2 linked regions of the Daphnia pulex genome follow. The protein of the gene in region 2 purifies or fractionates together with the protein of the main gene of each other region. This does not show direct contact. Links are inferred from orthologs where the notes say so. Each region holds a gene or a part of one and is shown on either strand. Other genes may lie near its edges. The genes, in order: nucleosome-remodeling factor subunit NURF301-like and chromatin complexes subunit BAP18-like.

What was found.
Region 1: the proteins of chromatin complexes subunit BAP18-like (region 2) and nucleosome-remodeling factor subunit NURF301-like purify together in Homo sapiens (affinity purification with mass spectrometry; 5 studies listed by BioGRID and IntAct, with this or other methods). This does not show direct contact. The link is inferred for Daphnia pulex from reciprocal best matches to the Homo sapiens genes BACC1 and BPTF.

The regions. Positions count from the first base shown.
Region 1 is NC_060023.1:9,233,504-9,248,674, reverse strand, and holds nucleosome-remodeling factor subunit NURF301-like, read right to left. Parts: upstream 12,245-15,171; 5' UTR 11,816-12,244; coding exon 11,132-11,815; intron 11,075-11,131; coding exon 10,699-11,074; intron 10,639-10,698; coding exon 10,418-10,638; intron 10,354-10,417; coding exon 10,068-10,353; intron 10,001-10,067; coding exon 9,018-10,000; intron 8,952-9,017; coding exon 8,807-8,951; intron 8,748-8,806; coding exon 6,452-8,747; intron 6,382-6,451; coding exon 4,683-6,381; 3' UTR 4,400-4,682; downstream 1-4,399. Other genes in the region: cytochrome P450 3A14-like, read right to left, coding at 1-58; cytochrome P450 3A14-like, read right to left, coding at 689-781, 854-1,016, 1,081-1,224, 1,289-1,377, 1,439-1,570, 1,633-1,752, 1,817-1,941, 2,040-2,191 and 5 more; phosphatidylinositol-glycan biosynthesis class X protein-like, read left to right, coding at 3,591-3,754, 3,822-4,344; probable aminoacyl tRNA synthase complex-interacting multifunctional protein 2, read left to right, coding at 13,609-13,767, 13,831-13,956, 14,024-14,149, 14,215-14,397, 14,704-14,941, 15,008-15,171. UniProt on the Homo sapiens protein: Regulatory subunit of the ATP-dependent NURF-1 and NURF-5 ISWI chromatin remodeling complexes, which form ordered nucleosome arrays on chromatin and facilitate access to DNA during DNA-templated processes such as DNA replication, transcription, and repair.
Region 2 is NC_060025.1:6,892,507-6,908,934, reverse strand, and holds chromatin complexes subunit BAP18-like, read right to left. Parts: upstream 7,462-16,428; 5' UTR 7,360-7,461; intron 6,770-7,359; exon of another isoform or gene 6,068-6,769; intron 6,005-6,067; exon of another isoform or gene 5,560-6,004; intron 5,491-5,559; exon of another isoform or gene 4,788-5,490; intron 4,733-4,787; exon of another isoform or gene 4,578-4,732; coding exon of another isoform or gene 4,338-4,577; intron 4,268-4,337; coding exon of another isoform or gene 3,512-4,267; intron 3,452-3,511; coding exon of another isoform or gene 3,419-3,451; exon of another isoform or gene 3,340-3,418; intron 3,283-3,339; coding exon of another isoform or gene 3,149-3,282; exon of another isoform or gene 3,087-3,148; coding exon of another isoform or gene 2,605-3,086; exon of another isoform or gene 2,488-2,604; coding exon of another isoform or gene 2,390-2,487; intron 2,318-2,389; coding exon of another isoform or gene 2,026-2,317; intron 1,963-2,025; coding exon of another isoform or gene 1,955-1,962; exon of another isoform or gene 1,729-1,954; intron 1,567-1,728; exon of another isoform or gene 1,473-1,566; intron 952-1,472; 5' UTR 877-951; coding exon 828-876; intron 763-827; coding exon 702-762; intron 639-701; coding exon 537-638; intron 470-536; coding exon 196-469; 3' UTR 158-195; downstream 1-157. Other genes in the region: H/ACA ribonucleoprotein complex subunit 4-like, read left to right, coding at 43-99; heat shock protein 83-like, read left to right, coding at 1,955-1,962, 2,026-2,317, 2,390-2,487, 2,605-3,086, 3,149-3,282; inositol 1,4,5-trisphosphate receptor-like, read left to right, coding at 3,419-3,451, 3,512-4,267, 4,338-4,577; nucleolar protein dao-5-like, read left to right, coding at 8,095-8,143, 8,283-8,373, 8,520-8,674, 8,733-8,911, 9,022-9,120, 9,195-9,305, 9,371-9,484, 9,550-9,891 and 2 more; transcriptional coactivator YAP1-A-like, read left to right, coding at 11,240-11,703, 14,068-14,204, 14,265-14,618, 14,700-14,815, 14,878-15,277, 15,411-15,529, 15,589-15,672. UniProt on the Homo sapiens protein: Component of chromatin complexes such as the MLL1/MLL and NURF complexes.

The sequences.
Region 1 (15,171 bases), on a different chromosome or scaffold from region 2:
AATAGGAGATCACTACCACCCAGGTAACGGGCGATGAGAGAATTCCCGATGCGTCCATGTTTGCCTTGTTGCTATGCGGGACTGAACGAGTGATATGCAAATGATACTTAATAAAACCTTTATTGAAAAAAAAAGTTGTAAAACCGGGAGTGGAGTCTAGAGTACGTTCAGTGGGAAGACCGAGTCGCTGAAGTCTGTCATGCGCTGACGAATATTACGTAGTAACCATGTGACAGTGACAAGATTATTTCTATGTCGATCGCTGCTATCAAACAAACAAACATTCAAATATTTTACAGTTTAGTACAAAGATAAAACTTGAGCACTTGTGCTAGTTATTTCCAAGGTTATTTCTACTATAGACGTAGATTCAGAATGTAAAAAATTAAAGCCCCTCAAAGGTAGAGCTAGAACGTAGATTAATTTTGCTACTCGTTGCGTCTCATGGTCAACGAAAGTTTTCATTCCGCATTTCTAACTATTGCTGCCACATTACCATCGTATCAAATTTCCAGACAGGATATATAGTTAGACAATATATAGATTGTAAGTTATAGAACAAGGCAAAGATAAATTGATAGGCTATTAAGATGTAGACTCAAGTCCGAAAAGTGTTCGCAATAAGATAATCGCATGTATATTGTTTCTTTTTTCATCTCTGAAACAACAAGACTAAATCTAATTCTAACTAATTCTGATTTGATTGACGGAATTCAATGCCCACAATCGCATGGATCGGCTGTAGAACTTGTGTAAGTCCATCGTCAAACTGGAGCCCCTCCTGTTGATTTAAAGATAACGAAAAGATTGAAAAATGATTGACTGATTAATGCGATAAGGAAATGAACTGTACCGGTGTCTCTTCGACTGGGAAAAAGCGGAATTTCTGAACCAAAGAACAAAGGGCCATTTTCAATTCTTCCATGGCGAAACGCATTCCGACGCAGTTTCTCGGACCAGTGCCGAATGCCATGTAAGAGTAAGGATTACGCTTAGCTTTGTTTTCCGGAGTCCACCTGGAAAAAAATACATAGCAAGTTAGCTTATAAATCCAAGTAATCTTTAAGATGTTTTCGGTACCGTTCAGGATCGAATTTTTCTGGATCGGGGTAGTATTCCTCTGAATGATGCAGAGCATAAGTGGGAACGGTAATGACTTGACCTTTTTTAATTTTTATGCGGCCGTTGTCATAGGAGTAATCCTTCGTACATTGTCGCTCAATACTAATTTAAAGCCAACGTTGGAATCAGAATTGTCCTATCAAAGCGGCTGCAATATTGTAATTACCGGATAAGGGGCGGATAATAGCGCAACACTTCTTGAATAACCATTTCCAAATAGGGAACGTCTTGGACCATTTCGTGTGAAACTTCATCCTTTTTACGAGTAGCCAAATTAATAAAAAGATAAAATTTTTGGAGGCTGTAGTAGACTTACATAGTTTTCCATTTTCGCAGCGATGCTTTCGTATAGTTTCTCTTGAACATCCGGATTTCTGGCTAGCTGGAAGCAGGTACTAGTCAAAGTTGTGGCTGTTGTGTCGAATCCAGCAAGCATGAAGAGTGTCGACTAAATATCATTCGCAATTTGTAATGGGAAAATTTCTTACATAAATAACTTAAAGTATTTACCTGTCCCATTATGATCTCGTCTATAATCTCACGAGTCCACATGGGCACCGTTTTGCCATCGACTACTTTCGTGAATTCTGAAATCGCTTCGTCAGCCACTTCAATAAAGTCGTTAAATTTCTATTCGTCGCAATAATTTTTCGTCAGTCAAAAACAAGCCTGATTGGTTGCCTTAATAATTTACCTCATTCGACTCCAAGCGATCCTTCAGTACATTTTCTAATAATTTGAAAAAGAATTTCATTTCTTTGGTGACAATTAAACGCTCGGTGAAATATCCAAACTTGGAAAACAAGTCTGGGTACATAACTATGGGAGAAAATGTAACAGTTAATTATCTATTATTAGCGGATTAATTATCTACTAGTAATGATCTACTATTAAGGGATACTGCTGTTAAGACTTACATGGTAGAAGAATAAGTGGTGTCTTGTTAGTTGGTGGATTGAAGACGAACTGAGCATTTGTAATGAAAGGATCGTCTTTCATGCCAAGAGTGTCGATTTTTAAACCGAAAGCACATCTTGCAATTACGTCCATGGTGAAAGCACTAAACGTCCTGTCAAATCAATCAACGTAGTTTGAAACAGGTATAATAAAAGGTTAAGCGATAGGTGATGTTATTACAGCTTGGCGTCAATTTTTCCATCTTTCTCGGTGAAAGTCGTGACACGATCGCACAAATTGGCAACGCAATCTTTGATCAAAACAGACATCTATAATAATAAAAAAAAAAGCGACAGCCGTTGATTAATTTCTTCCCCTGTTTTTTTCCCCTTTAAATATTGAATTACTCGCTTGATTTTTCCGGTGGTAAAGGCAGGTGTAACGGACGAGCGAATGTCCTTCCACTCTTGACCTCTCATTAGACTCAACCATTTGCGCATGACTTTCGTTTTTATCTCGAAAGACTGAAAAGAAACAATTCATAATTAACTACATGGCTAATTGTGTAAAACGCATTTTTCCTTACTCTGCGATCGACAAAATGGTCGAAGTCTTTGACGTACATCGCCTTTATCACATCGGCATCTGTGATCCAAAGGTTTGGAATCGGGCCATCGAAATAACCAAAAACCTTTCCGTATTTTTTCACTAATGCCAAGTCGTACGCAGGAAGGTTCTAAATTAAAACAATTATTTAATTTTTAAAATGTTGAGAACCTAGATTGATTTATCTCACCGCTTTCCAAACGCCCCACATATTACCGAAGATGGGAATCGGTTTGGGACCAGGGATTCCTTGGTCGGAAAAGTAGTTAAATGTGGACGTGGCATATCTATTTAATTAAAAAAGATTTACCAATAAGAAAGAGATTTTAAAGAGTCTTCTTCTTTTTTTCTACCTGTAAATAATGTATAGAGAAGAGGAGATCGCTAACACCCAGGTAGCGGGCGATGAGAGAAATCCCGATGCGTCCATTTTGGACTAGTTGCTGTGCAGGACTGAACGTATGATGCAAATCATACTTACTTTTATGAAAAAAAGTTGTAAACCTGGAGAGTCGAGTGCTATTTGAGTTAGAGGACAGCTTATTGCGTCATGTGCTGACGAATATATTACAGTGACGAAGCAATAAAATTATTTTCTCTGCTGTCGGACGTTGGTACAAAACCAAAAACAAAACAATTAAATAAATCTGAGTCTCAAGTACAAAGATAAAACTTGCACTGGAGTTATTTGTATTAGAGACGCAGATTCCGATAAGATAACCCTGAAGGTAGCCCTACGGCTCCTAAATGGTAGCCTAATAACTTGCAATATTAAAGATAATTAACAATAGGTTACACTTTGCTGCAATTTGAAAGTAGAGCATTGTGTGAGTGGTAGCAAATATTAAATGCCTAAGCTCCAATTCTGAATTTAAAAATGAAACCGTTTGAATTTTGAGACAAAACGGGACGGATTTTCTCCCTGTCCCACAACTCTGGCGTTAGCAGACGATGTCAAAACAGGAATGACAGTTTGTAAACAACTAAACATGAATCGAACAATAACATCTTGTTTTTTGGCTATTCTATTTAATTTAAATAATACTCAATTGGCTCATGGAGAATTTACAGTAGAAGATTTCAACAGTGCGTACTCAGAATTTCAGGTGACTGGAGACGGTTTTCATCGGTAAGATGTTCAACAGTTACACCACAGAGCGTTAACAGAATAACAGAATTGTATACTTTATTTTTAGGGAAATGCGAATGTCCTCCTCGTTTCTTCCTTCCTCTCTTCTAGGCTGTAGTGTACTTATAAAATGGAGGATTCCTTCTGGAATCTATGTAGACCCATATCAACTTCAAGCTTCGGTAATGAACAAGACAGTTCGCTTCTCCAGCCATGTCAACATTGAACAAATGGCACATCATGCAGAACCTTTAACATTACACAGCTTGCCCCACCTTCAATGTGGGAGCAGTTGCAGCTTCTCCCAATCAATCCAGTTTCATCTGCGTTATCATCTCCCTAGCAGCATAAATGATTATACAGCAGCATCTCTATCCTCACCTTCTACCTATTTCTCTTGTGACTGTGCTTCAATAGATTTGACAGCTGTGCATAAATGTGTGTGGCAGTCATTACCTGAACATGTTCAAATTCAACAAGTTTTAGTCCCAATTGGTTCGCTGTCTCATTCACCACTAGTGACAATTGTTACAATAGCAATTTCATTCATTGGAATTGCTTCTGTTGCTTGGTCTTCAGCAGTAGAGTGAACATGAATGTTGCAATTGAATTTGTTTTATAAATAATGTACAGTACTCGGATCAATACAAAAAGATTTTGTGTATTGCGGCAGATGTAACAGCAATTTATATGGGCATAAATACCGCTTTCCACACTTTGTTTTTCATGTCAGTCTAGTGAGGGGGGGGGGGGAAATGTACGTTGCAAGAGTCTTGAAATTTTGAAGACACAAAAGAAATTTAGGGTGCAAGGTAAGAAAAGCGGAACAAGCAAGCCAAAAAAAAAGAGTTCCGAGATAGTTTCACACGTAACACACAAACACACACGAGGCGATTTGAAAAGAGATATGGGTGACGATGACGCAACTTCAGTTGGACATGGACGAGCGCAACAATTTGAGTCGGGGCACAAAAAACGATTCGAGGGATGTGGCGCAACGGTAGAAGTTGGACCCTTTGGGATTGTAATAGCGACAGTTTTCAAAGATCTTGGTGATGTCGCCGATAAACTCCACCAGTCGTTGGTAGCGTCTCTCTATAATCTTGGTCTCAACCATCTGCAAGTCCATGGGATCCTTAATGACTTGATAGTAGTCGGGGACATCCTTGACATCGACTGGCTCACGGAACGGCCAGGAGCTCTTGTGGGTCTGCAACTGCCGTAGAAGCTTGCGTAGTTCCTCGTAATCGCGAGTGCCAAGGGTCTTCGTGTTGGCGTAGTTGAAGGCTCCCTGCGGCTCACAGTTGGGGCACTTGTACTCGTCGATCGACTCCGATTCCGTTTGCAGAACGCCGACGCAGCGACCATGCAACCAATCTCCACAACGATCGCAGCCGATGTAGAACTGCGAGTCATCGTACGGCTGTCGGCAAAGGCAGAACAGTTCACGAGGCGCCACCGTTTTTCCCGTTTTACAACCATTACACACAAATTCCGTCATCGTTTGCGACATGGCCTCCGTGATGCCGACACAGTCTCCGTGAAACCAATTCGTACACAAGTCACAACCGACGTAGAACTTGGAATTGTCGTACGGTTTGCGACAGATACAGTAAAGTTCTATCTTGTCGCCAGCGCTGCATCCACTTTCCGACAAAGTTCGTTTGGACTTCCTCTTGGATGTCGGTGGCATTGACGCGGGTGATGCATCATAGTCCTCTTCATCTTGCGAAGTGCCAGGTTCGGGCTCATTCAAAGTCTTTTGAGGACTCAACGGTGATGATAACTTGCGTTTCCTCTGATTCCGTCGAGGTGTGGCTTTGGGTTGAACAACGGGCAATTCTTGCAACTTTGGCTCCTTTTTCTTAACGACGACCGCTTGATTTTCCGAGACTGCGACAGGAGCTTGTCGAACTGGCGAAGGCAACTGTAGCGCTGAGATCTCCTTCGTGATGGCAGATCGCAATTCTTTTTCCAACGAGGCACGTTTGCGCAGAATTTCCTTCTTTAGCGACTCGGAACTTCTATTCAACAGGCCCTGCAGACGGGCACAGGTCGACTGGTGGCGTTTCTCCTTGGCTCGTTGAGCGGCCTTCATTGCACGTTCCTTGTTCTTTTGCTCGCGCAAATCAGCAGCTGCATCGTTAGCCGGTGTCGCCCCGCTGACAATCTTGGAGGAGACTGGCGTGCTGGGGGCCTCAATTACCCGAGCAATCTTGCGAGCCGGTGGTCTGATCGTTTTACTATCTGTTCCAGTTGCGGGGGTCATCGCAGTTGAGGTATCGACGTCATCAATCCAAGACGCACCGGACGTCGTCCGTTTCCTATTGGAGGCGGCAAAATAGGTAGGAGTCTCCACCTCGGCGTCATCCCTTTTCGCTTTCTCCTGCTCACGCAAGCGCGTCAACACTTTCTGCTCAAGGTCCGGATGAAGATTTCCTCCCTTCAATGAATTGCGGAGCGCTTGTACGACATAGTCGGGAGTAACAGTATACGGTTCATCCACTTTGTTTTGATTTGCCGTGACAGTCGCAGCGCCAGTCGTGGTTGCCGGCGTTGTGGGGGTGGCGACAGCAGCAGCTACAGCGGGTGTCGAAACAACGGCAGCGGGCGTCGTAGACGTTTCGCTATAAATGAATAACAAGAAAAAATGTTAAAAACTGATATTTAGTCAAATGAAATTATTATTATTCTTACGTAGAAGTCGGAGCGACGGTAGTGGTAACAGCAGCCGTTGTAGAAACTGTAGCAACGGTTGCGCCAGCCACTGATGTCCGAACAGCAAATGTGATGGGTTTGTTGTTGCCTCCTGGCTGATTGGTACGAGCCATCATCTGTCCCTTGAGCTGTTCTTGAATGGCAGCTAGTTGTTGGGGAGTAAGGGAACCACCTTGCAGATTCTGAACAATTATCTTCTGACCTTGAGCCGTCTGTATCACTTGCATCATGGGTTTAGCTGGCTGCTGTTGGCCGGCCACGACTACGGTTGGTGTATCGCCCGTTTTGACCACGGATGCTGAACCAGCGGAAGCGGGAGTTGCGGCTGGTCGGATAATAACCTGTTGACCGTTGACTGAACTTAGCTGAAGTTTTCCAGACGCTAGGTGCTGAGCCAGCATTGCAGTGTTGGTACCAGCCGGCAGAACAATTTGACTCGTTGTTTTCTGACCAGCGATGGTTACAGCTTTTTGAACAACAACAGTTTTGGTTCCTGTTCCGTCGCTGGCTGCAGCAGGTTGGACTTGGGTCTGTGCTTGAGCTGGCGCTGGTTGGGCGGTTATCATAGGTTGAGCAGGTGAAACGATCGTAAAGCGGCCATCGCTTAGTTTCAGAAGTTGCTGGCCTGGTTTCAAGCCACGAATTTCAATCTTGCCGTCGGGACCGCGAGAGATTTGCAATTTATTAACGGTAGGTGTAGCAGCCGCGACGCCAGGACTAGGAGCAATTAGCACAGGCTGGGCAGATCCTGAAGGTGAAGCCACCGTCGTCTTAACAACTTGAGATGTTTTACCATCTTTGGTGATGAGAATGCGCCGGCCCATAGGACTTCCAGTGGCCCCAGAGGGCGTAGACAGCAACTTGTTTCCAGGCAACATAACTTTGTTTCCGGCGGGAAGAGTTAGACGGACAACACCAGTTGGCGTTCCAGGAGTGGTGCTCTTCAGTTGATGGGCAGTACGTTGGGCGCGCAACTGCTGTTCGGCCTGAGCTTTGAGTTCCTCCATAGTCATAGGTTTACCTCCAGGTCCCATAGTCTGTGGTGTGCTCTTGAGTCGAGTAAGGTGAGGTGTAGAGGTGGTCGTACTAGCTGCAGCTGCCATCGCAGCGGCTTTTTCGATACGCTCGTGGTACTGCTTAATGACCCAAAGTTCCAAGCGATCTTCATCCACCCATTCCTCGGTGACAATGGGTTGCGACAATTTGGGCGCTTCCACCATCTTGCGCTTACGCAATCCGGAACGAGATGGAGTGACTTCTCTGACCGTTTTGGGGACATCGAGTGGAATAACCACACGCCGTTGAAAGTACTGTGTGCGTTCAAGAAACCGCCCGATGTGACGATGCTTCAAGATATCGGTGGTGGTAATCTCCGTGTCGGTGGTCGTTTGGTTTTTACCGTCCATGCCCATGTTGCCAGCTTTGGTCACCATTTCTTCCCAACGGAGACACGCCCAGAGGATTCGAACTTGCAAAGCGAACGTGCTCAAAGACTGGAGGCCGTTTGTGCGGAAAAACCAGACATTCTTGAACAACGGCCTGGCCGATGGGTAGATCCAAGCCGGAGAGTTATTCTTTGGGCCGTGGTGGAAGCCTTGAACGTATCCTTGACCGTGACGTCGGGCTAGATGCTTCAATTCGTGATCGGGCAGGACGAAGATGGTCCGTTTGTTGCTCTTTGTCATATATTTGGACATCATCGGGTATTTCACAGGCGCCTTTTTCTTTTTAGATCGAATTTCGTCATCAGCACGCTTTAGTGGTAGAGGACCCTGCGTCGATTCGTTCGAGTAAATCCGTCTTTTAACTAGTGCAGCTTTTTGCTTCGCTTCTTCTTCTTTCTCTTGCAGGATTGCAGCTTCTAGAGGTTTGATGGCCCGGCAAGTGGGAGAGTAGCAACTATCACCACCACACTTGTAAGAATAGCAGCGTGCGAAAGTGAGCCGGTGCTTTCGTAGTTGTTCCAGTCGTGCTTCCATTTCTGCCATGGTCAATTTGCGATTCGTGACGTTGACTTCCTCTTTTTTTAGTGGCAGCGGGGCCTTTTCGGTTTTGAGAAGATTTTTCTCTTCGGCCGTCTTCAATTTGAGGCGCCAATCGAGCAACGAATCTAACTTGGCTTTCTTGGCGATTTTAGGATAAACACGACGGTTGGTATCGTTCATAGCAGCGCAAACATCAACAACTTCCATCGCTGGATCAGAAGATGGGATTTCATAAATTTCGACGCCAGATGCCGGATCACACTGAATGTAGCGAGATTCCGAGCCTTCTTCTATTAATGATACAATTCATTAAAATTCATCAAAAGAATCGAAGCAACATCAAAATTACCTTGAGTACAAGTGATGATTCGCCAGGGTCCAGCTCTTAATCCGCATTTCCTGGCATCAAGACGTCGTAAAAGGCGAGTTGCGGACAACCACAGCCAACCCCATTGACCGTGAAGACGAAACTCTTCACCTTTGTGCTTCCAGATCTGTCGAAAACAATGTGAAACCAATTAGATATGGATTCAAATAGAAATAAAAATAGTTTCTATTACCTGGTGCTTGAGGCCTTTGGTGTAATGGACGGTGTGTAGTCGATGCATCTCTTCTTCCAGTTCTTTATCCTTCTTCTCCTTCTTGTCCACCTTCTTCCGCTCTTCACGTTCAAGGGCCGTCTGTCGTTGAAGTCGAATGTGGCCAAGTGACTCGTGCCAGACGGAAGAGAAAACAACTGGGCGGATGCACGCAACCAGGATTGAGAGGACACGACCGAGGTCTGTTGGCGAGACGCTTTGATTGACAGCTTGGATCCAAGACTTTCGCATACTCCCAGCCCAGTTAGGATGCATGAAAATAGCAGGCAATTGAGAGTGCAGTTGGAGCAAGGTGGAACGAACAGTTTGCTGCATGATAGTGCGGTTGCCAAATGTACTGCCCAACCACTTAAACTCGCCGCAACCCGTAATGGAGAACTTGTGCGACAAGTAACGCTTGCGGTCTCTCTCCTCTGCTGCCTGGTTTTTGTTGAGCGCGAGGGGATTGCTCGTGTACTGGTTGACGTACGTCTTGTGCCGTCCTTCCATGCCCAATTTAAAGATGACGTCGGAGGGTAAAGGAGATTGAGATTTTGATTTGGTAGGGGTGCCACTTCTTTCCTCCTTAATAGTGACTCCGCCAGAACCGTTGGTTGTTAAATTTCGCCGTTTCATGTCGACATAGGTGCGTGCCACAATGGTGCCGGTTTTGGAGCGCGTAGAGTAAGTTCCGTTGGCTGTTGGTGTACCGGTAGTAGGCGTTTCTTCAGGCTCTACTTTAGGTTCAGATTCCACATGCAATTGTTGCATGAAATCGTCATCCACTTCCACACCGCATTCTTCCACAACCTCCTCAGTTTCTATTTTTTCCTTCTCTGTTTTGATTGCATCGACAGAGAGGTTCTCATCAGCCTCGTCATCTTCTTCTTTTTCAACTTTGACGACCGTCTGAGAGGCCTCCCTTGCAACTTCTTCGTCAAGTTCGAGATATGATTTGTTGTTGCCTAAAATGTATAACAAATGATTAGCGTCTTTTATGAATAAAATTAGGTAGATTAAAATATTATTCACCTTTATTCTCGTTTGTCAGCTGTATCGTGAGAGCCATCTGCCTCAATATTTCCGGCCTTAGATTGTATAGTTCTTGACAAAGAGCCTTTTCAAAATCTGTCTTGTCCAAAGCTGCAAGCAACTGTTCAAACTGATGGGGACTGGAGTAGTACCAAGTTTTACGGTCCTCCACGGCAATAGTTTCTTCATCTCCGTCAATTTCTTCCCGGCTGCCAGTTTCTTCGACAAAGATCCGTCTGGCAATAAACCAGTATTTGCGTCCGTGTCGGTCGTAGCCCAAAGATTCCTAAAAGAGAATACATGAATTAAAAAGGAATTCATCCGCCAGCATTGGGTTTCAGGATAATTACTTGTCGGCAGAGAAAACCGGATCGTTCAACATCACTTATACAATCAGTTACTCCTTTGCATAGTTGGGCCGTGCATATAGGACACTGCCAATCCTCGTTTGGAACGTGCTCCAGTGGTGGGTCGAGACAGTGGAGGTGATAGACGGCTGGACATGTCTCACAGCAGAGCAAATCTCCAACTTTGTGGCAAACTCGACAATGGTCATTATATTTGATGTTTCCTATAGATGAAAGATGAATTAGTATGTTTAAAACCATAAAAATGATTTAAAAAATGTTACCCTCGCTAAGGAACTCTTGTCGGACAGCCGTATTGCAGAGAAAATGGTCAGTAAGAAACTTGAGGAGGTTCAGACGGACGTCGCAGGTAGTAAAAGGATATTCGCAGGATTCAAGTAAAGAGAGTGCAGGTGCAAAGGTCGGGTCACTCTGCATGTATATCCGCATGACTTCTGGCCACGTCAGCGTGTCGGCAAAGTTTAACACAGAATTTGTGCTGTCTTTCTGGTCCAGTGGTCCAAACCAAGTTTGTTGTACGTCTTCCTCTCGAAGCATGGACTTTAAGAGTTGAACATGGACTTCCGCCAAAAGAGTTGTCATTTCTTCCGATTGAAGAGCGGCCATGAAATCCTCGAGTCGAAAAGGAGAGAGCCTCACCTACGCAGAGAGATTGATTAGCCAGGGAAAATTATTCATAATAAAAACCAAACCAACCTCACTGCTAAACTTGCGTAGGACTTCGTAAATCGCGCAAGCAGGTAGCACTTGGTGTGTAGGCAAGAGAAGGTCTTCAGAAGATTTGGGTAGAGTCAACACTGGTAAATCTTGATCGGACTGGAGCCAAATAGGGAGTGGAGTGGGTATAGACTTTATACTGGATTCAACAATTTTTCGCATTGAGGAACTTTGATTAGAAATGGAGATATCTGAGGCATTATCATCCAGTTCATCACTCTCTGGCTCGCTAATTGGTATGTCCACGTCACTCTCAACATCCAACTCTGCATCTTCTCCTTGGCTCGGAGGCCCATCAGAATCACTACCAGAGTCAAAGTCTGAGCCATAATGATAATCATTACCCCTGGTAATGACCAACGAAGGCCTAGGCACATATGCTTTGCCACCTCTGTTGCCTCTTGTACCCGCTTTCCTTCCACGTTTCTTGAATGGAGTTACTGATATATGTTTTTTGGCACTGTATTGTTGTGTGAAACTCCCCACACTGCCTCCCGGTGAACTAGCTCTAGACCCAGTTGGACCATTGTCATTAGCCACTCCATCACGAGACAAAAACCATTTAGGCTTCTCGATAACGTTCGATCGGGAATTTAGGAAGTGTGGTGTTGTATAAGATGATTTAGGCGGCCTCCCGCGTCTCCTACCGCCTCTCGACGACATTATCGACTGTGGGATACACTTTTAACAAAGGATTAATGACCAGCTGAAACACTGGAGTAGGCCGGCAGTAGTATGCTTGTTTATAAACAAGGTTGACAGGGCGCCAAAACTTCCCACGGTGTCCACTACCACCTAGTAGTAGTGTTGTACGCGGAAGGCTTAACGGCCATCTTGATCACGTGACTTTTCAGATATTGCCTGCTGAATATTCACGAAAATAGTTTTCACACTCACAACGACAGTTAATATTGTGCCAAACACTCTAAAACAAAACGTTGAACAATTGAACGGTTGAAATACGTTGACTTGAAAGTGTTTTAGGCCCCGGTGACGCCACAAAAAAATTTCAGAGTTTTTTGCTCTGAGATGCTACGAGAGAGAAATAGGCGGGAGGGAATGAAAGGGGGCCTTAAGCCATAACTAACTCTAGCGGGATTGGTCGAAAACTGAAACCAATCACTAAAAGTCTTTCATAGCAACCAAAATTCAAATTTTTGTTTTTCAAAAGTGAATTTTGTCAATCAATGTCGATTTTAACTAATTTTTTGTCTGTTTTGTATGTTTCAAGAGGTTAAAGAAGAGTTTTTTAAGAATTAATTAGAACTGAGAAAGTGAGAATGATTCGACGATAACTTTGGAAATCGATTGCTTATCGATGATCTTTAGAGAATATTCAAACTTTCCATAAAAATGATGTTGCACTCTCAAAAATTCTTATTAGATGTAACATTTTTTCTTGTATTTTGTTATGCTAATTTAGTATCACCACGCTTAGTAAGAGTTTGTTAGTAGTTTGTCTAATCACGGCCAGGCGTCGCTGTTCAAATAGCAGACGACTTTGGTTATCTAAAAAAAATTATAAAAATCATGGCCTACTATAGTCACGGCCCATCATCGTACGCTTCTGTGTGGGACCAATTTTAGGTTCCCTGCCCCTTCCCTGTTGCCATAGTACATAGCCAGAGGGTCGTAAGTATCGGTTTTTGTTCCACATTTCCGCAGATTCTTTCCACCCTTTGGGATTTTTTGGCTTAAGTCGCCATGCCTGTGTGTCTGGCTTGCATCCAGGCATGGTCAGAGTCGATTAAATGCAATTGAAGGACAGTCTAGTGGGTATAGCGGAGGATTCCCACATTAGAGGTGTTAGGTTCAAATCTATGCAAGTCATAATCAATTTTTCATAATTTTTCCTTGTTTTTTCTATATTTTTAAAGCGAATTAGATGGAATGCCTAGATTGTGTAAAAAATGCGAGTTTTTTCACATTTTTTAAAACAAAATCTGAATTTGTTTTCTTTGGCAAGGACTTAGAAAAAAAAGCAAATTCAGATTTTGTTGAAAATAATGTGAAAAAACTCGCATTTTTTCACAATCTAGGCATTCCATCTAATTCGCTTTAAAAATAAAGAAAAAACAAGGAAAAATTATGAAAAATTGATTATGACTTGCATAGATTTGATCCTAATACCACTCTAGTGGGAATCTACCGCTTTAACCACTAGACTGTCAATCGCATACTTTTAGTCGACTCTGACCATAGCACTATGCAAGCCAGACACAGAATCTGCGGAAATGTGGAACAAAAACCGATACTTACGACCCTCTGGCTATGTACTATGGCAACAGGGAAGGGGCAGGGAACCCAAAATTGGTCCCACACAGAAGCGTACGATGATGGGCCGTGACTATAGTAGGCCATGATAAAAATAGACCACATTTCTAAGGCTCGAAGCTATTCAATCGCAGTCTTCTCATTTCCTCCTTTAAATTTTAAATAGAATATACGTAGGTAGGATGTACAAGCTGCAACCTTTATTTAAGTCGGTAGTGGAGACTCCGCATCCGAGTTGTGTCTATAAAATGAAAAAAATCAGTGACCATTTTAATCACAATATTGCTGCCAATAATGACGGGACTGGGGAAAACACTCAGAATGACGCAACTTCCAACAACGTAAAAAAATTCAAAAATAACAAGTTCGTTTTGTCATCTTTCTTTATATTTTTGTAATTACAGTGCGAGGTGGAAGAGCTGGAAAAACGTTGGACAGAGATCACTTCCAGACTTCAGAGACTTCAATCTGAACTTGCTGCAATTAAAACTGGTTCAGCGTCTGAATTGTCTTCCTTCGTAGATGCTGGGGTAAGAATTTTTGTTTCATTCCTGCCATTATTACATTTACTAGGAAAAATTGATTATTGTGGTGCAGCCGGCTCCACCATTGACTATCAAGACACTGGCAGTCCAGCAGGATTTGCTGGTTCTTCGTATTTCTTCCCTCATGACTTCACTCTTTGAGCTCAAGTCGAGATTGGCGCTGATGGATGACCCTCAGGTTTTTCATTGAAATCTGCTTTTGACTGTTTTGAGGCAATTGCCTTAATTTATTCCCTCCACTAGAGTATATCCAGTACCACTGTTCTGCAACTGCAGCAAAGGTCCTTGCTGGAGCGTATCAGAGAACTCAATGATGAGATTCAAAGCATCAGTTATGCACTGAACAATAATAACAATAATGGCAAGGTGCCCATTACTCCGCAGCTCCCGTGCTGTACTGAGAAGACAGATATTGTAGGATCAGGGGTAAAAAAAAATCGAGTTTAGAATCCGAATGTTTTTTAAACGAATTTGAGACAAAATTGCATCTCTTTTTTTAACTCCATCTCAATTATTCCAGTCAGACTAACAGCGTGAGATTATCCTGGTCCCACATAAATAACCGTTTGATGTAAGCATGGATTAATAATATAAGTCCTGATCCTTTTTATCAGGTTTTTTAGTTGTCTTGTTTTTGCCTGTGCGCCGTTTTCAGTTTGTATATTAGCATGTCTAACAGCAGCTAACCCAATAACGTTTTAATAACATCAGCCAATTAATTATCTTTTCAAGGTTCGAAACTTCCAAGATTTGGTGATCCAAGCTAGCCCATCTAATCCTCCGCATTCACTGCCGCTGTTGAAGCAACGAATGGAAATGCTCGGCATGTCCGTCTACGCCAGGACGCACGTCCATTCGACGGTTGCTGGACACAAACTACTGGATGATACTCTTAAATCTTTCGTATACTCTGATTCACGTGTTGAACGATCCAAAGCTCACGTAGCGATAACTCTAATCTGGATTAAAGGTATGTCTTCATTGTTGTCCTTATCAATGCTCGTTGTCTAATATAATTTGACTATTACAAATCTAGATGATGGCGAAGAGCCTTCCCTTATGGTGTCACCCTCATCTCAGGGTGTAGCCATTAAAGGAGAAGCCAATATTGCCCGATATTTGGCTAGACTGTTGCCTGGGTTATTGGATTACGAAAGCCAACCGTTGAAGGCTGCTCAAATCGACCACTATCTCGACCTG
Region 2 (16,428 bases):
TAATTTGGTATGCATTAGTAATGTGAACATATTTCTATTTAGGAGGAGTCTGCCAAGAAAAAAAAGAAAAAGAAAGATGTCGATCGGGAAGATGATTAATTATAATTGAAATAATTTGTAATATTATGTTTGCAAGAAAATTCGAAAATACAATTCATTTCATTTTTATGCTGTGTATTAATTTATCAGAAAGTTTCAAGATGTGACAACTTCATTTGCTCCTTCAAAATTTAACCCTTCAACATCAACTTCATTTTCAGAGGCATTTAACATGTTCAATGTCACTTCAGCTGTTGACTTGTTATTAATCATTTGGGGCTGTTGTTGAACAACTACAACTGCTTGCTGAGGACTTGAATTAATATTCTGGAGTGGACTTGGTTGAACAACTGGTTGGCTGATGACTTTGGACAAAGGAATACCTGCTGCCTCAAAAGTTTTTTTCTTCAAACTACCATGAATTTGTGTCCTAATAAATAGAAGCAAATAAAATTTGAAATTTGAACACTGACATATGATTTTTGCAATCAACTTACACTGTCTTGTCTTTAATATGTTCAGAAATCTTTTCAAGATCTTCTCCAAAGCGCTTAATGGAACTTCTCAACATTTCAATTTCATCTTCACTCCATTTTGACCTGTATAAGAAAAAATTAAAAATACAACAGTGTTACAAAAGTAAATTACTTTAAATTATTTACCCAGCATTGGCATTTTCTGAGGAATGTAGCTGCATGGTCAATTTCCCCAACGTACTGAAAGCTAAGAAAAATAATGGCTGAAATCACTCATTCAACAATTACCTACATACACCATGTGTATTTTACCTAATCCTGCAGCTCCAAATATATCGGCAACCTTATTAGCAGAGTTCATTCTTGTGCACTTTTACAAACAACTAACCCAGAAAATTCACCACAAAGTCAATTATTTGGTATAAAAAAACATAATTTCCCGTAGGGATTCTAGTCACAGTCGAAGGAGGCTCAGTTTTGACACGCCACCGCTGCAATTCAAACTGCAAAATTCAATTGCAGTAATTAGACACTTAAATTTACGTAATTGTGACAACAATCACGCAAATTTTTGTAGGCATTTGATTAAACAAAGAAATCTCTTTAAAATGGATCACATTTTACGAAGATATAATAGATTTATTTTTTAAAACAGCGATTCTAAGTCAAACGGGGCTCAGTTTCGAAACGCCACCGCTGCAATTCAAACTGCAAAATTCAAAACGCCACTAAACATTAACACAAAATTTACGTAAATGTCTTACAAATCACGAAAATTTTTGTATGAAAGAGATTAAACAAAGAAAGGTCTTCAAAATGGATCACATGAAGATATACTAATAGCTGTATTTTTTACACAGCGATTCAAAGTCGAACGGGCTCACTTTCCCGGCTTGATGTGTGTCAACCCAAAAGCTATAGTTTGCAGGCCTAACAAGAAGCGAATTTGGTGGCAATTTTTACGACTGCCCGGCGGCCTTGTATACATGTAGATCCCCACCAAACGTGAACAGAAAAGCGTCCGGTTTGTTTGTTTACGTTTTAAAGCAAAGTAAGTTTTACTACTGTACTGGTTTAGACAAACAAATTGGTTATTTACACATTTTTTGATATGCCTCAAGTCCATAGATATATGTAGAATTTCTATTTTTGAGTGTGATCTACCACAATTGACAAACATTTCTTACTGAAATATTTTCCTTTTCCTTTTTAGATGCCTGGAGAAGTTCAAATGGAAGACGAAGCTGAGACTTTCACATCCCAGGCCAAGATTGCTCAGCTTATGAGCTTGATTATCAACACCTTCTATAGTCGATCTCCAACTCCTCAAATGCCCTAGTCAAGATCCGTTATGAATCCCTGACTGACCCAAGCAAGTTGGACAGCGGTAAGGACCTTAAAATCAAGATTGTCCCCAACAAGAATGCTGACTCACTCTCATGGATACGTAAGTTGAGAAATTTAGTTCCTCCTATTTGAACACGAATTTGACTGTTCTGTTTCTCTTTAGTGGTATCGGCATGATCAAGGCTGATTTGGTTAACAACTTGGGTACTATTGCCAAGTCTGGAACTAAAGCTTTCATGGAAGCCCTCTCTGCCGGAGCTGACATCTCCATGATTGGTCAGTTTAGTGTGGGTTCCTACTCTGCTTACCTGGTTGCCGACAAGGTGACAGTTCATTCCAAGCACAATGATGATGAGCAGTATGTTTGGGAATCGTCAGCTGGTGGTTCTTTCACCATCAAGCCTGATCACAGAGAACCCATGGGTAGAGGAACCAAGATTATCCTCCACTTGAAGGTATGTTCTTTGTCTTCATTGGCATAATTTCCAATATGCTCATGCCTGTATTTTTTTTTTCATTATTGACAGGATTATCCGATGGATTACCTGGAGGAGAAGAAAGTCAAGGAGGTTGTCAAGAAGAACTCACAGTTCATTTGCTACCCAATCAAGCTATTGGTTGAGAAGTAGCGCGACAAGAAAGTGAGCGACGATGAGGCTGAGGAGGAGGAAAAGAAGCATGAGAACGACAAGAAAGTTTTACGAACAATTCAGCAAGAACCTGAAGTTGGGAGTCCATGAAGATTCTACCTACGCAAGAAGATCGCTGACCTCATCCGTTTCCACACTTCCGCCTCTGGAGAAAACCAGGTTTCCTTCAAGGAATACGTTTCCCGCATGAAGGAGAACCAGAAACACATCTACTACATCACTGGTGACAACAGAGAACAAGTCAGCAACTCCTCATTCGTCGAGCGTGGCAAGAAGCGCGGATTGGAGGTCATCTTCATGACTGAGCCCATTGATGAGTACGTCGTCCAGCAGCTCAAGGAATACGATGGCAAGCAGCTCGTCTCCGTCACCAAGGAGGGTCTGGAACTCCCCGAAGATGATGGAGAAACCAAGAAACGCGAGAGCGACAAGGCCAAATTCGAGGGTCTCTGCAAAATCATAAAGGACATCTTGGACTTCGCTCTTCAACAAACCAGCCCTACACTTGGGGGCCAGCAAGGCCAGCAAAATATTTCGATCGTAGCGTCTTCAGTCGGGAATCTTCGCAGTCACAGTTGAGCGTCCGCTTTGATCGGACAATTATTGATGGCCTGTAAGACATTGTCGTCTTGTTAGAGGCTCAACTGCATTCTTTGGTTCAAGCCAAGTCTTCCGTTATCGTCGATGTCCTTTACCGACCGGAATACCTTTTCCAGCCTGGCACGGAAGCACAGAAAAAGTGTGACAATGGCGGATTCATTCGCAGGTAAATTTGACTTGTATTTATGTTAACCATTGATCTTACTTGGAATTTATTTTTATTGAAGATTGATTAAACACACCGAACGATTGCTGGAGGACAAGGAGGAAAAACTTTGCATCCAAGTTCTCAACACCTTACGTCAGATGATGAATTTCGATGTTCACAATGGCGAAAAGGTAATCATTCTATTAAAATTTGAGGCAATAAATTTACCTTAATGAATCAATTATTACCAGGGAGACGCATTGAGAAAGAATCTTTTAGTTCGCTACTTTGCCAAACCAGCCTCTCATAGTTCTAAAAAGACCGAGCTCTATGGCGGAAGCGGAATCTCTGGTGCTGGAATTCATTCAACATTATCTGGTGGTACTGGTGTTGGAGTTTGTGTGGGACAATCGTCATCGCTGACAACCCACGGACCTGGAGGACGTCTCCTGTCGCGAGGTGAAATGTGTTTGCCCGAGGTGCAAGTGTACCTGGACCGAGAAGGCATCTCTGATTTGGTGGCCGAATTGGTCATGAAGTCGTCGTTGTTGCCCAACGTTTTCATGGAAGCGGTCCAGTTGGGCATCGCTCTGCTGGAAGGCGGCAACCCCGTCATCCAGCGGAGTCTCTACACGAAATTGCAGTCGGCCGAGACGAGCGCCATCTTCTTCAAGGTGTTCCACGACAAAGTCAGAGAGTCGCAAGCGGAAATCAAGTCCACCATGTCGGTCAACACGATCGAAATGGCCTCGGCGGGTAACAACAAGCTCAAGGACCATTCCCATGAAATGAAGGATCATTTCCCGTACGACATGAAGATGAAACATCAACGCATGATGTCCACAAGAGCTTCAAACGGTAACGTCACTGTAGGGGAGCGCATGGATCCTTACAGTGACTCGTGGAACAGCTCCAGGTTGGATGATTCGACTACCACTACAACGACGTTGAGTAGTGTCAACTTGACGCTGGAGAACTTGGTGAGACAACAACAACAACCCAAATCGGTACAACAAAACTTGAATTCGTGATTTTATTAAAATTCTTGTAAAAAATAAATTGAATTCGCCCTTATAGTTAACTACGGCAACTGATTCGGACATGGAGTCCAAGTTGTCGGCTAAGGTTCTGGTAATGCTGCCCGTCTTCCGCTTCCTGCAGTTGCTGTGTGAGAATCACAATCGAGACCTGCAGAACTTTTTGCGGGCCCAGTCCAACAAAAAAAGTTACAATTTAGTGTCAGACGACACTCATGTTCCTCGACTGCATTTGCGGATCGACGACGGGCGAACTGGGTCTGCTCGGCCTCTACATTAATGAGCACAACGTCGCCCTCATCAACCAAACCCTGGAAACATTGACGGAATATTGCCAAGGACCTTGTCACGAAAACCAAAACTGCATCGCCACTCACGAGTCGAATGGACTGGACATCATCACGGCTCTTCTTCTTACCGACATCAATCCATTAGGTAACAATTTCCTTTCATTAATTTGATTCTAATAATTATTTGATCAATTATTTAGGACAACGGAGAATGGATCTTGTTTTGGAGTTGAAAAACAACGCCTCCAAGTTGTTGCTGGCCGTCATGGAGAGTCGTGGCGACAGCGAGAACGTGGAAAGGATCCTGTACAACATGAATCCTCGCCAATTGGTGGACGTCGCCTGCAAAGCCTATCACCAAAAGTTGGTCGGTGGAGAAGAGGCGGCCAATCCGAAAGAAGTCGCCAGTTGGCCACAACATTTACATTTTGTGACACCAGTTGGCGCAGCACAACAAAGAATTGGCCGCCCTGATGAAACCGCCGCCAGTGGACGGAGTCAGCGGTGATGCGGCCCTGCAGTACTACGCCAATCACACGGCGCAAATCGAAATAAATTGTCCGTCACGACCGGACGATGGAGCAGATTGTCTTCCCCATTCCGGAGCGGAAATGTGCGAGTATTTGATCAACGACACGAAAGTGTGCGTCTTCCACACGGCGGAGCGCGACGACCAGGGATCGAAAGTGGCCGCCTTTTTCGAAGGAGTCGACGACATGTTTGACGAGATGAAATGGTAGAAGAAATTGCGCAGACAGCCGTTCCTCTTTTGGGACAGCTCGCACATGTCCATCTGGAGTCAAATCCTCTTCAATTTGGCCGTCATTATCAACCTGATTGTCGCCTTCTTTTACCCGTTTGACACTGACGGACCGGCTCCTGATCCTCGCACTCACCTGTCAGGTCTGCACACCTTTAAACAGTGACTCCCATTTCCATCTTTTCAACGATCTTTTCCCTTTATTAATTCAGGTCTCATCTGGGCCGTCATCCTCCTATCCGCCGCTGTGGCCATCACGTTAACCAAACCGTCGGGTATTAGGACTCTCGTCATGACAGTCATCCTCCGGCTTATTTGCTCAGCCGGCCCTTAACCCACAGTGATGCTCCTTGGCACCGACACGGTAGTGTTGAAGGGCGTCCATTTTCTGAGCATCATGGGCAACGCCGGGACATTTCAGCGGAGCGTCAGACAAATCTGCACGGACACGGAGATTGTCTACCACGTCGTTTACCTCATCTTTTGCTTCCTCGGACTCAGCACCCATCCGTTCTTCTTCTCCGTCCTTTTGTTTGACGTCGTCTACCGCGAGGAGACGCTGCTCAACGTAATCCGCTCAGTGACGCGAAACGGCAGGTCCATCGTTCTCACTGCCGTTTTGGCTCTCATCCTAGTCTACATGTTCTCCATCATCGGGTATTTCAGTTTCATGACACTTTTCTATGTTCCATATTGAAATCCTTTTATTTTTGCCACAAGAAACGGACAAGAAAGTCGGGATGGTCGTTATTTCCAACCGTTGGTCGAGTCTCCCAGATTATCGTCAGTTCGTCACCTCCCAGTACGGCTGGACAGCCAACATGGAGCGTATCATGAAGGCTCAGGCTTTGAGGGATACCTTCACCATGGATTACATGGCCGCCAAGAAGCACTTGGAAATCAACTCCGACCATCCCATCGTCGAAGCCCTGCGCGTCAAAGCAGAGGCTGACAAAAACGATAAAGCCGTCAAGGATTTCTTCATGTTGCTGTTTGAAACCTCTGCTGTCATCTGGTTTTTCCCTGGAAGAGCTAGCCGTCCATGCTTCTGATCTCGCATCTACCGCATGATCAAATTGGGTTTGTGTATCGATGAAGATGATGTCCCTGCTGGTGGTGAGGAAGCCGAAGAAGCCGAAGAAGAAATGCCGCCATTGGAGAATGATGAAAATGCTTTTCGCTGGAGAAAGGCGATTAAACGTGTCAATTACTGTTATAAAACACAAACTCAGTTTCTCTCAATTGTTCTTATTTCAGCGTTTTTGCGAACTGAAATGAGGGCATTCATATGATAAAACTAGTCTTATTTTCTTAAAATCATGGCTTTACTTAATTTGCGTTGCTCCCTCATTCCTGGCATTGTATAACTACGTGTTAAGAGTTGGAATTTAATACAACCAATCGCGGTTTGATATATAAAAACTTTGTTCGATTTCTCTCCATACCCCTGCTTGTGACAGCTATCCAACGACACCGAGTTTCGAATAGAAAAGCGGTACATACAGCTTAACATTTTGGTCATGAGAAATGATTGTAGAAAAATGATGACGAATGGAATTGGTTATTCGTGGAAAAATTCACTAGGCTACTCAACTAAGTTGATCCATAAATCACACTTCGCTAATCTATAAGTGAGTTGAAGCGAGTTGAAAAAAATTCTGCCCTCTCTTCATTAAAAAACAAAATTTGTTGCCTAGATATTCCGGCTTTAAAGTTGCATTAAATGGCTTCCATTCCAACATGATAGGGATCCAAATGATACAAGTTGTTAAACTGGTCAAAAGGTAACCGAACAAAAAAAAAAGTTAGGCGTGCTCCTGGATTACAGTTACACCCCAAAATGATGTCTATAATAAGCGCCGAGCAATCACCCTACATTGCGCGAAAAAATACTTAACCTATATATATAACCTTACCCCTAACCCCCCAAAATTTATTATGCACACTCCCTCATTTAAATTAAACCCCAAAGTCCCGGAGGGAAACTGGCGACGCTAGGCGCGAGGCACAATTCGAAGGATGCACAAAACTGAAAGTCTGACAAAAATAAAGCGGGAAGAGTACCCCGTAGCACTTAAGCTAAATGATATGTATATCGATCAACACATATATCGATAATTTATTTTTGACGCATAGCCTAATATTTTTAGTTTAATTCGACACACAAGCCATCGTAATATTTTAAAAATTTGACTGTAATTTTAGCACGCATTAAATATTGTGATAAAATCATTTATGAATCCATGATTGATCATTTGTGTGAAACTGTGAACAAGCTGAGAACAGAGAAAACGAGACAAAACACTCATTGATAAGAAGTGCGCTTTTTGGATTTGTCATTTCGAATATTTAGTACTGATACTTACGTCCAGAGGCGTTGAGGACAAGTTTCTAGTCTAACTTTATCTGTGGACCAACTTGTAAAAATTTTAAATTAAATAAAAAGAATTGTTCTCATGGCGGTTGTCATACGTCATATGTTGTCTTGTTTTATATTAACTAAACAACGCGAAAATATTTTAAATAAAACTTTACATGTTTATTTGAAAAAGATTTGAAATTTCGGACTTCAATTTCATAAAGAAAAAAAAAACTGTTTCAGAAAACCCCGCATGAGAGCGCTCCGGTCAATTGTTGTAACGCTTGGATGTTAGGGTACCTATACTGTACGAACAAAAGTTCTTGTTGAGACTTTGACTCTCTGTGAATTTTACATAGTTTGTTTAGTTTTCTCTTAAGGCTTTCTAATGAGCATGGCTGATATAAGTAAAGAAGACTTAAGAAAAGAAATTGATGGTAACTATCCTTTTTTTCATATTATTTATCAAAAGACCTCAAATCTTTGAAAGCCGGCACGCTGGTGACTTAGCATCAGCATCATCGCTATTTATTGAATGTTTTGTATTCTTGTTTTATCATGTCATGTGTTTTATAGGCATCCTTGAAGGGGCTGATTTAGACACACTGTCTTCTAAAAAAGTTCGGCAACAGTTGGAGGAAAAACTAAAATTCGACCTCAGTGACAGGTATGGAGACATTAGGCATGCTTGCTTTTTCCTTATTTTATTACTCAAACATATTCATGTTAAAACTAGTATGTCTTATTAGGCATATTTGTAGATGAGTAAAATATTCATTATTTTTACCACAAATGAATTTTATGATTTCACAGGAAAAAGGAAATTGATGAAATGGTCATGGAGGCAGTAGAAAAGAAACCCCATATAGAAGATGACACATCCCCTAAAAGTAAACGAGAAGATGCCAAAGAGGAATCTAATAAAGAGCCTGCAGCAAAGAAGAAGAAACCTGCAAAACTGGACCAATGTAAGAAATTAATTTGTGCACATATTTTCATTTTTCTTATTTTCATGTTTTTCAAAAGCTGTGGATGAAGAGGATGAAAACTCAGAAAGTGAAGGAGATGATGATGAAGAAGAAGAGGAAGATGATGAAGATGAAGATGAGTACATACCTGATAAAGAAGAAGTTTCTCCTAAAAAAAGACCAGCAAGACAACAAGAAAGGCGCCAGCCTGCCCGGAAAGCACCATCGGAAAGCCCTGTAAGTGATGAAGAAATGTTCTTTAGAAACTGATAACCTGAAAAAAGAATGTAAATTTTTCTTTTTAAATAACTGCAACTAATTTCCAGTTTTGTTATGTGATATTCTAGGAAGCAAAAACAAAAGCGCGACCTGCTCGATCAATTGCTGAAGAAAAGAAATCCAAAGCCCCAATCACCAAATCTAGTGATTCGGAGGGGAAGTCAGCGGTACGATTATTATTTAATTGCCTGATTTATTCGATTACGTAGAAATCAAAACATAAACTTTCAATTTGATATAGGAATCTGAAGAATCTGAGGAAGAATCGGGATCGGACGTTGCCCCAGCACCACCCCCCAAAAAAGCACCGACACCCCGTGGAAGAAAGCCTCAATCTAAACCCGTCCCAGTGGTATTATTAGAAGAATTTGGAAAGAAGTTAATCTCTTACATTTTTTTTCTCCATTTTTAATCAAGGACGAGGACAGCGAAGAAAGTGATACTGCTCCTAAAAAAGTAACGCCTAAGAAACGTCAACAAGAGTCTGGCAGTGAATACGAAGAGTTTGACGAAGAAAACTCCGAAAGTAGCGTAAGTTAGAGAGTAAAACCAAATATGAATTGACGCAAAATTTTAATATTTCTTGTAAAATATAGGATGGAGGTAGTGATGAGTCGTACAGTCCAGGAAAGAAGTCTCCTGGGAAAAAAAGAGGTCGTAGTGCTGGAAGGGGGGCTGTCGGCGGTAAGAAGAAGCGTGCTGATAGTTCGGATCCCGATGACTCCGATGAAGACTGGAAAAAAGCCTCCAAAAAGAAAAGAGGAACCCCAGCCAAGAAAGGAGAAGGTTCTACGACTGCTAAAGCAAGAACACCAAAGGGAGGAGTAAAAGCTGTTAAACTTAGTCCTGAGTTGTCAGATATTATGGGAACCGAGTCCATGCCTCGTCCGGAAGTTGTAAAAAAAATGTGGTCTATAATCAAGGAAAGAAACCTATATGTAAGTTTCATGTCAAATAATTCATTGAACCAATAACTGATATGTTTTATTCAAAATTTTGTCTAGGATCCCAAGAACAAACAGTTTGCGGTTTGTGACGAACAATTACAGAAAGTTTTTGGTAAAGCCATTTCCGTTCTAGTTCAAAATCTGTGATTTCTAACGAGTTTTATTTTTTTTACAATTTATAGGCGTTAAGAGATTTCGTACATTCGGCATGATGAAGTACCTCAAAGCTCATTTCATTGATTAAATTGATCGGGAAAGTAAGCTTTTAAAGATAAGGGATCAAAAGCTGGCGTGCACACTGCGGAATGAATTAAGCTATTAAGAATGAATTAAGCGATAGCAAAACAAATGCGACATTTTTCTATTTTATTTTATTTTATTTTTCTTCCTTTTTGCGGGATATAAAAAACTATCCTACGCGCCGTTTTGGAGTTGACGTAGAGTCCATCCGCAAGGTGCCAGTTGTTGAATGGTATCATTGATCGCTGTACTCATTTTACTGGAAGTTCTCGGTTTAAATGTTTGCTTTGAAAAATCTGAAAAGAAGTTGTCGTACGATTCTGATGGTGCGTGATGGTAGATGCAAGTTCGTTTATCTCTTCTCTCGCTTTTAGTTTTGTGGAAAAAAGGAGAGATTGATTGGACAGGTTGATTGTATTTCTCTTACATGTTCTTCTACAATTTCACATCGGGGTTCGTGTTTTTCCATCCCTATGCATGTTTTCAATCCTTGACCATTTGAGAAATTCAAAAGCATAATACACATACAAACCTTATCCGTCTTGTTTGCAAATTAACAAGAAAACATAGTCATTCGTGAAAACCATAAATTGTGTAAGATTATTGCTATGACCGACGTTAAAAACAGTTTGCTGCGATAACTTCCAGCTAAATTATTTAATGAAGAAAAGGTTCATTGCTTCTCTATTTACTAGTAATTCGATAATAATTTTCATTCGTATTGCATTCAATTGTGGAAATTTGCTTTTTGTATAAAAAAAAAGCATTTGAAACACTAGATCATGTAAAATTATTGTAAAAAAAAAGAAAAAACAAGTATCAGGTAAAATGAATTATAGTCGGAAGATGGCGTCCGAGTTTGTTATTGAAAAAATTGATATGCCAGCCTGCCACCTTCCGGCTTTTGCCTAGTTGCATAGATGAGGTGCATCAGTTACTCGCCAGACTGTCTTTTGTGTGGAAGGGTGTGTCGGCTGATTATTGAGTTAACCTTTTTCATTTTTTATGATCTTAGTTGTTGTCTTTCTTTGTTTAGCATATTGTAATTCCCTTACCTATCCTATCTGCTCGACTGCTTGAAAGTTCTGGTATCATTAAAATGTCAAAAAATCCCGAAGTGGTCGAGCACAAAGAACGGAATCAAATCGTACACATTCGTGGCGATTCTGATTCCGAATTACAAGCCTTGTTTGACAGCGTACTGAAGCCTGATGCCCACAGACCATTGCAGCTGCCATTTCGGTTGCGAAATCTGCCAGATTCTTTCTTCAAACCACCTCCAACTGGATCAAAGTCTCCTTCTGTGGCATCTAATTCACACAGCAGAGAAAACAGCACAGATTCTGGGCATTTTGCTTTGAACCCTTCACCATCAGCCAATATTCACCATTCGAGAGCACACAGCTCTCCAGCCTCACTCCAACAGACTTTGGCAGCTGGTCAACAACGACCAGTACATCAGCACTTAAAGCAACAGAGTTGTGACTTAACTCTCGATCACTTCCCACTTCCTGAAGGATGGGAACAAGCCAAGACACCTCAAGGACAAGTCTACTTTTTAAAGTAATCTTTCTTTTCATTTATTTACTTCTTAAGTTAGATCTAGTCCTCAGTTACAAGCTCAAAGTTTAGTGAAATAGTAAAGTTGCAAATATTTTGCGTCTGTCCCCACGAATTGAAACTGTGTCGTACATCACGATTGAATAATAGCATATAGCCTCGATGAAAGCGACCTTGCAAAAGCACTACTCAGCCAGCGTTCATTGAGTGATGGCGTAAGTGAAGGACAGGCGCCGGGGTAGGTTAGCTAATTCTGCTTGCGATATGTGGACCCGAAAGTCATGGCGTTCTATTATTAAACGGTGGCGGATTCAGAGTGCGAGGAGAAGCAATAGGAACTACATAAAAAGTCTTGAGGGGTGGCCGATTTGAGCAAAATGCGCAGGTTGAACGGGACAGTTGAGAGCGTGAGGAGGGGTCGGAGTTTGCCGCTGTCGAGACGCAGTTTGGAGCAGCTATCTCAACTGCAAAAATAGAACCGGGCCGTGCCTTTATGGAGCAACCATCCCTCAGTAGGGTAAAGCTGCTTTCACACTTAGGAGTTTTTGACATAAGAAAATTGGGTTCTGCAACCACACCTTTTTTCTTGGGAGAAAATACGATGAAATTGTGAGTTGCAGAATCCTATTTTGTTTTTACTGTCAGAAAAACCTCTTTTTTCGTGTGTAGCATGTATATTTTTTTGTAGAGAAAGATAAAAGTTTTGTTTAGCTCTGAATGAATGGTTGCTAGGTCCACTTCATCTCTGGTAACCATTTTAAGATTTAGTCTCTTGTCGACAGCGAGAAACGCTTTCTTTAGAGGTTGTTGCGTTTCAACCCCTCCTTCTCAACTTACGGCGCCTCATTCGTCTCACATCTCGAAAACTGATTGCTTATTTATTAAATTATAACTACATACAGTCATGCCCGACTACTAGAATATTTTCTCTTGCCATCTGATACGTGTGTTGGGGTTGGCCAAATCGCGTATTTTTAAGGGTTCGTCGAACAACCGTTGAGATCTCATAGTTTCTCAACTGAATAACTCAAATTTACCACGATGGAATGTATACTGGCCTTAAGTAAAAAGAAAAAAGGTCTGTGGAATGCCCTCCTACCTTTTACCATTTTTTTTTTCTTCTTCTTTTTACCTGTAAAGAAAGAGACGGGGGCAAATGCCTGTGGTGTTTAGGAGAGAGAGAATGCATAGCGAAGCACGGGGGATCTCTACGTTTCCTGCTGGTGGGTTAGGTTGCTTATTGTTGAATACCTTGTTCTTTTATAGTGACCTTGGGTACGAGTCCCCCCTCCTCCCGCCATCTCTATTGAGACCCTCAGCGAAAGAGAGGAGCCGTTTTCTCTGTCTCCGAGCTTTTATCCAACTATTTTCTTCTTCCTGGATCCATTCTTACCTGTGGCTATGGGCTGACCTTTCCATCTTCTCCTCTACTTTCTCCTCCGTATGTACGTTATCTATCCACTTGTTTGACCAATTTTTTTGTTCTTTTCTTTTTCTCCGTGAGGGTTGCTTTTCTGTCCTTTGGGTTCCATGCTAGCCTTTTGTGAAGCCCATCTTCGTTCTTTAATTCATGAGCTCGTTGATTCGATCCGAGCCAACGCGAACCGCCTATCATCCGCCTTTGGTTGGACTCGCCATTTTTGGGAAGGAGAATCTGCACACGGAGCAGGTTTCTCTCTCCCCCTCGACTCAACCTTTTATGGATGGAATTCCCACGGCTTCTCAATTCATCCTTAGAAACTCCAAATCCCTCATGAAAAAAAGTATTCTCTTCGAAAAATATCAACATTTTTAACTGGAATACGAGTTTCTTTTGTTTATTTAAGCTTTTTTAATCGTACAAATGAAGCTCGTCCAGGTAAAAAAAAAATATGAATCCGCATTAAAATGAATGTGTTGGTTCATTTCTGGGCGCCAGGATTTAGAACTAGTTGTCATTTTGTGCAATGCTACCGGTTTCGACAAGCGACCTTGTCCGTGCAAATTTAGGTGCGTTTGCCCATGAGAGGCGGAAACAAGCTTGAACGACGTTAGGATCGGGGACGGTCTGCCCACCTTAGTACGTTTTCCGTATTCTCCGTTTTACTCTTCTTTACTTCCCAAGGCCATGTGACCGAGTGTGTTGTTGCTTACATTATTCCCCTTCCCTCCCTCCCTCTTTTATCTGATTCTATTAGCGTGAAACAAATCCAAGGTCTTTCCAACATGGTACCGAACAATTTCAGTCAGGTTTGTCCTAGACTATTGTGTCTAGTCGCGTGTGTTTAGCGTTGCCGTTTATCATTGTCAAATAATTTGTTATTTACGTGTCAGACATTCTACCGATTTTCATCTTGCTGATGTGTTTTTTCTTTTTCTTCTTTACAGTCACCTGACTCAAACAACAACATGGGAGGATCCACGGAAAAAATTACTGCAGCAACAGATTCAGCCGTTGTCACCGGCTCCTCCACCAAACATGGTAGCTCCACCTTTACTCAGTGCCGTTACGGCGCCAGTTGCCGGTAAGTGAAACAATACAAATTCCTGGCTTTCCGGTTATGTAACTTTCATTCAATTAACAGGAAGTAATGCAGCGGCTGTCTTGGCGGCATCTCAGCAAGCTTTAACCCAAGCTTTGGGTCCTCTACCGGATGGATGGGAACAAGCAGTTACTCCGGAAGGAGAACTCTATTTCATTGATCATCACACGAGAAAGACTTCGTGGTTTGATCCTCGCCTTCGTAATAGCAACTTCTTTTATTATTTTGTATTTATTTGTTTTTCCCCACTTGCTCGCCACGCTAATGTCTCGTTTCTGTTTGTTCCATCATCAGCTATTCACATGCAGAAGCCACCCATGGTACACGCCGCTGGAACACAGAGCGCTGCCGCCTTACAGCAACAACAACAGATTACTCAGCAGCCAGCTGCTTCAGGTGAGGCTTATTTTATGAAAACAAATCTCAGAAGTGCTGACGGTAAACATTCAATTTGATGTTTTTATTTTTATTTAATAGGAACTTCACAGCAAACTTTGACGCCTGCCCAGGCTGCCCAGCAACAATTGCGATTGCAAAGACTTCAGCAGGAGCAGGATCGTTTAAGACAGAGACAACAGGAAATTATAGCCATGGTATTTTAGTTCATGTGAAGGTGTTGTGTGATCTTTGTTTTCCATTGATGAATTCATTGCAGATGGAACGAGAAACTCGCGTCCGTCAGCAAGAAAACAGCACCGGTTCCCAACAGCAACCGGAGTTCGCCATGAGACGGAATCCTCTTCATACGCAATCGAGTAGCAACAGTGCAGCGGCCAACGAGCTTAGCTCCAACACGGTGGATCCTTTTCTTAGTGCAGCGTCGGCTGCTGCTACCGCCGCCGTTCCCCATACTTGCGTCAATGGAACAGGAAACGGAGCGGCCACAAATATCCCTCAGTCTTCGACAGCTCCACCTTCGTCATTGGCTACCGACTTTCATGCTCGTCAAGAGTCGGCCGACTCTGGTTTGGGTATGGGTGGCAGTTATAGCTTACCTCACACACCCGAGGATTTCCTCGCCTCTATGGATGACACAATGGACACTACGCTTGATTGTAATTTTGATTTTTAAAATTAGTCTTAATTTAAATTTTTAAATTTTTATTTTAGTTTAATTTTTCCTATATTATTCATTGTTTCACATCGTTGAGTTCACATTTTTAGTAACGGATTGTTTACGTTGTTTAGGTCCTGCTTCTGTTGGCACTGTCGATATGAACGACATGAACGACATGAATGGAGGATTAGAGGCTGGCGATCTACCTGCTCATATGGACACTACTGACGATCTCGTACCTACTTTGGATGTAAGAACATACATTTCACAATGTCATTTCGATTTAAAACAACAATTATTTTTGAACAGTTGGGAGAAGAGTTATCGACGGACATCCTGAATGACGTTCTTTTGAATTCAAACAAAGTCGACAACGTCCTTACTTGGCTCTGAAACAGCTCGTCTTGGTTGAATCCCAAATTTATAAATATCTTCTATGGAATGCCAATATCGTCGATGGTTTTCTTCAACACGTCTTGAAGTTTACGCATCTATTGGTTTGGCATTGGGCGTGATCAACTAACTTTTACATTTTGGCCTTAACCTTTAGTATGGGATTCATCTTAACGAATATTCAGAAATTGGCAATTATTTTGAATATGTAGAGCTAACGACTAGCGGTAGAGTTAATCAAAAACAATTCGGTTCTGAAAGTGCAAACGTTTTAGAGGAAGATTAGCTCACAATGCGTATTATGCATTGTCGTACTAGCTTATCATTTACGTATTAAGAGTTATTGTTGGGAAACGGAAGGAGGAGCTAACAAGATTTTCGATATTTGTTTCGTTTGATTCCGAAACCATCACTTTTTAAAACATATATGCAACTATGACTGTAGGTTCTTGTTCTAGGGAAGATGGTTCTAGGTGTAAAAAAAAAAAGATGAGATCCCGGTCCGGTCGCGCGCCCGTTCCAGTATCGTCGTCTTGAGAGAAACTGACGTGCCTATAAAACGTGTGAAGCAATAAGATGCCTGGGAATTCCCTCGTGTGTCGGTCAAAATTGTGTGTTCCTTTTCAATGCCTTTGAATTACCTGTAAATGTGCTCGTCAAATGATTCTTTCTGCATACCCTGTCCAAATGTTTTTGACAAGCCACTCGCAAACCGAATACGAAGCAGGAGATATATCATTTGAAAATGTCTTGGTG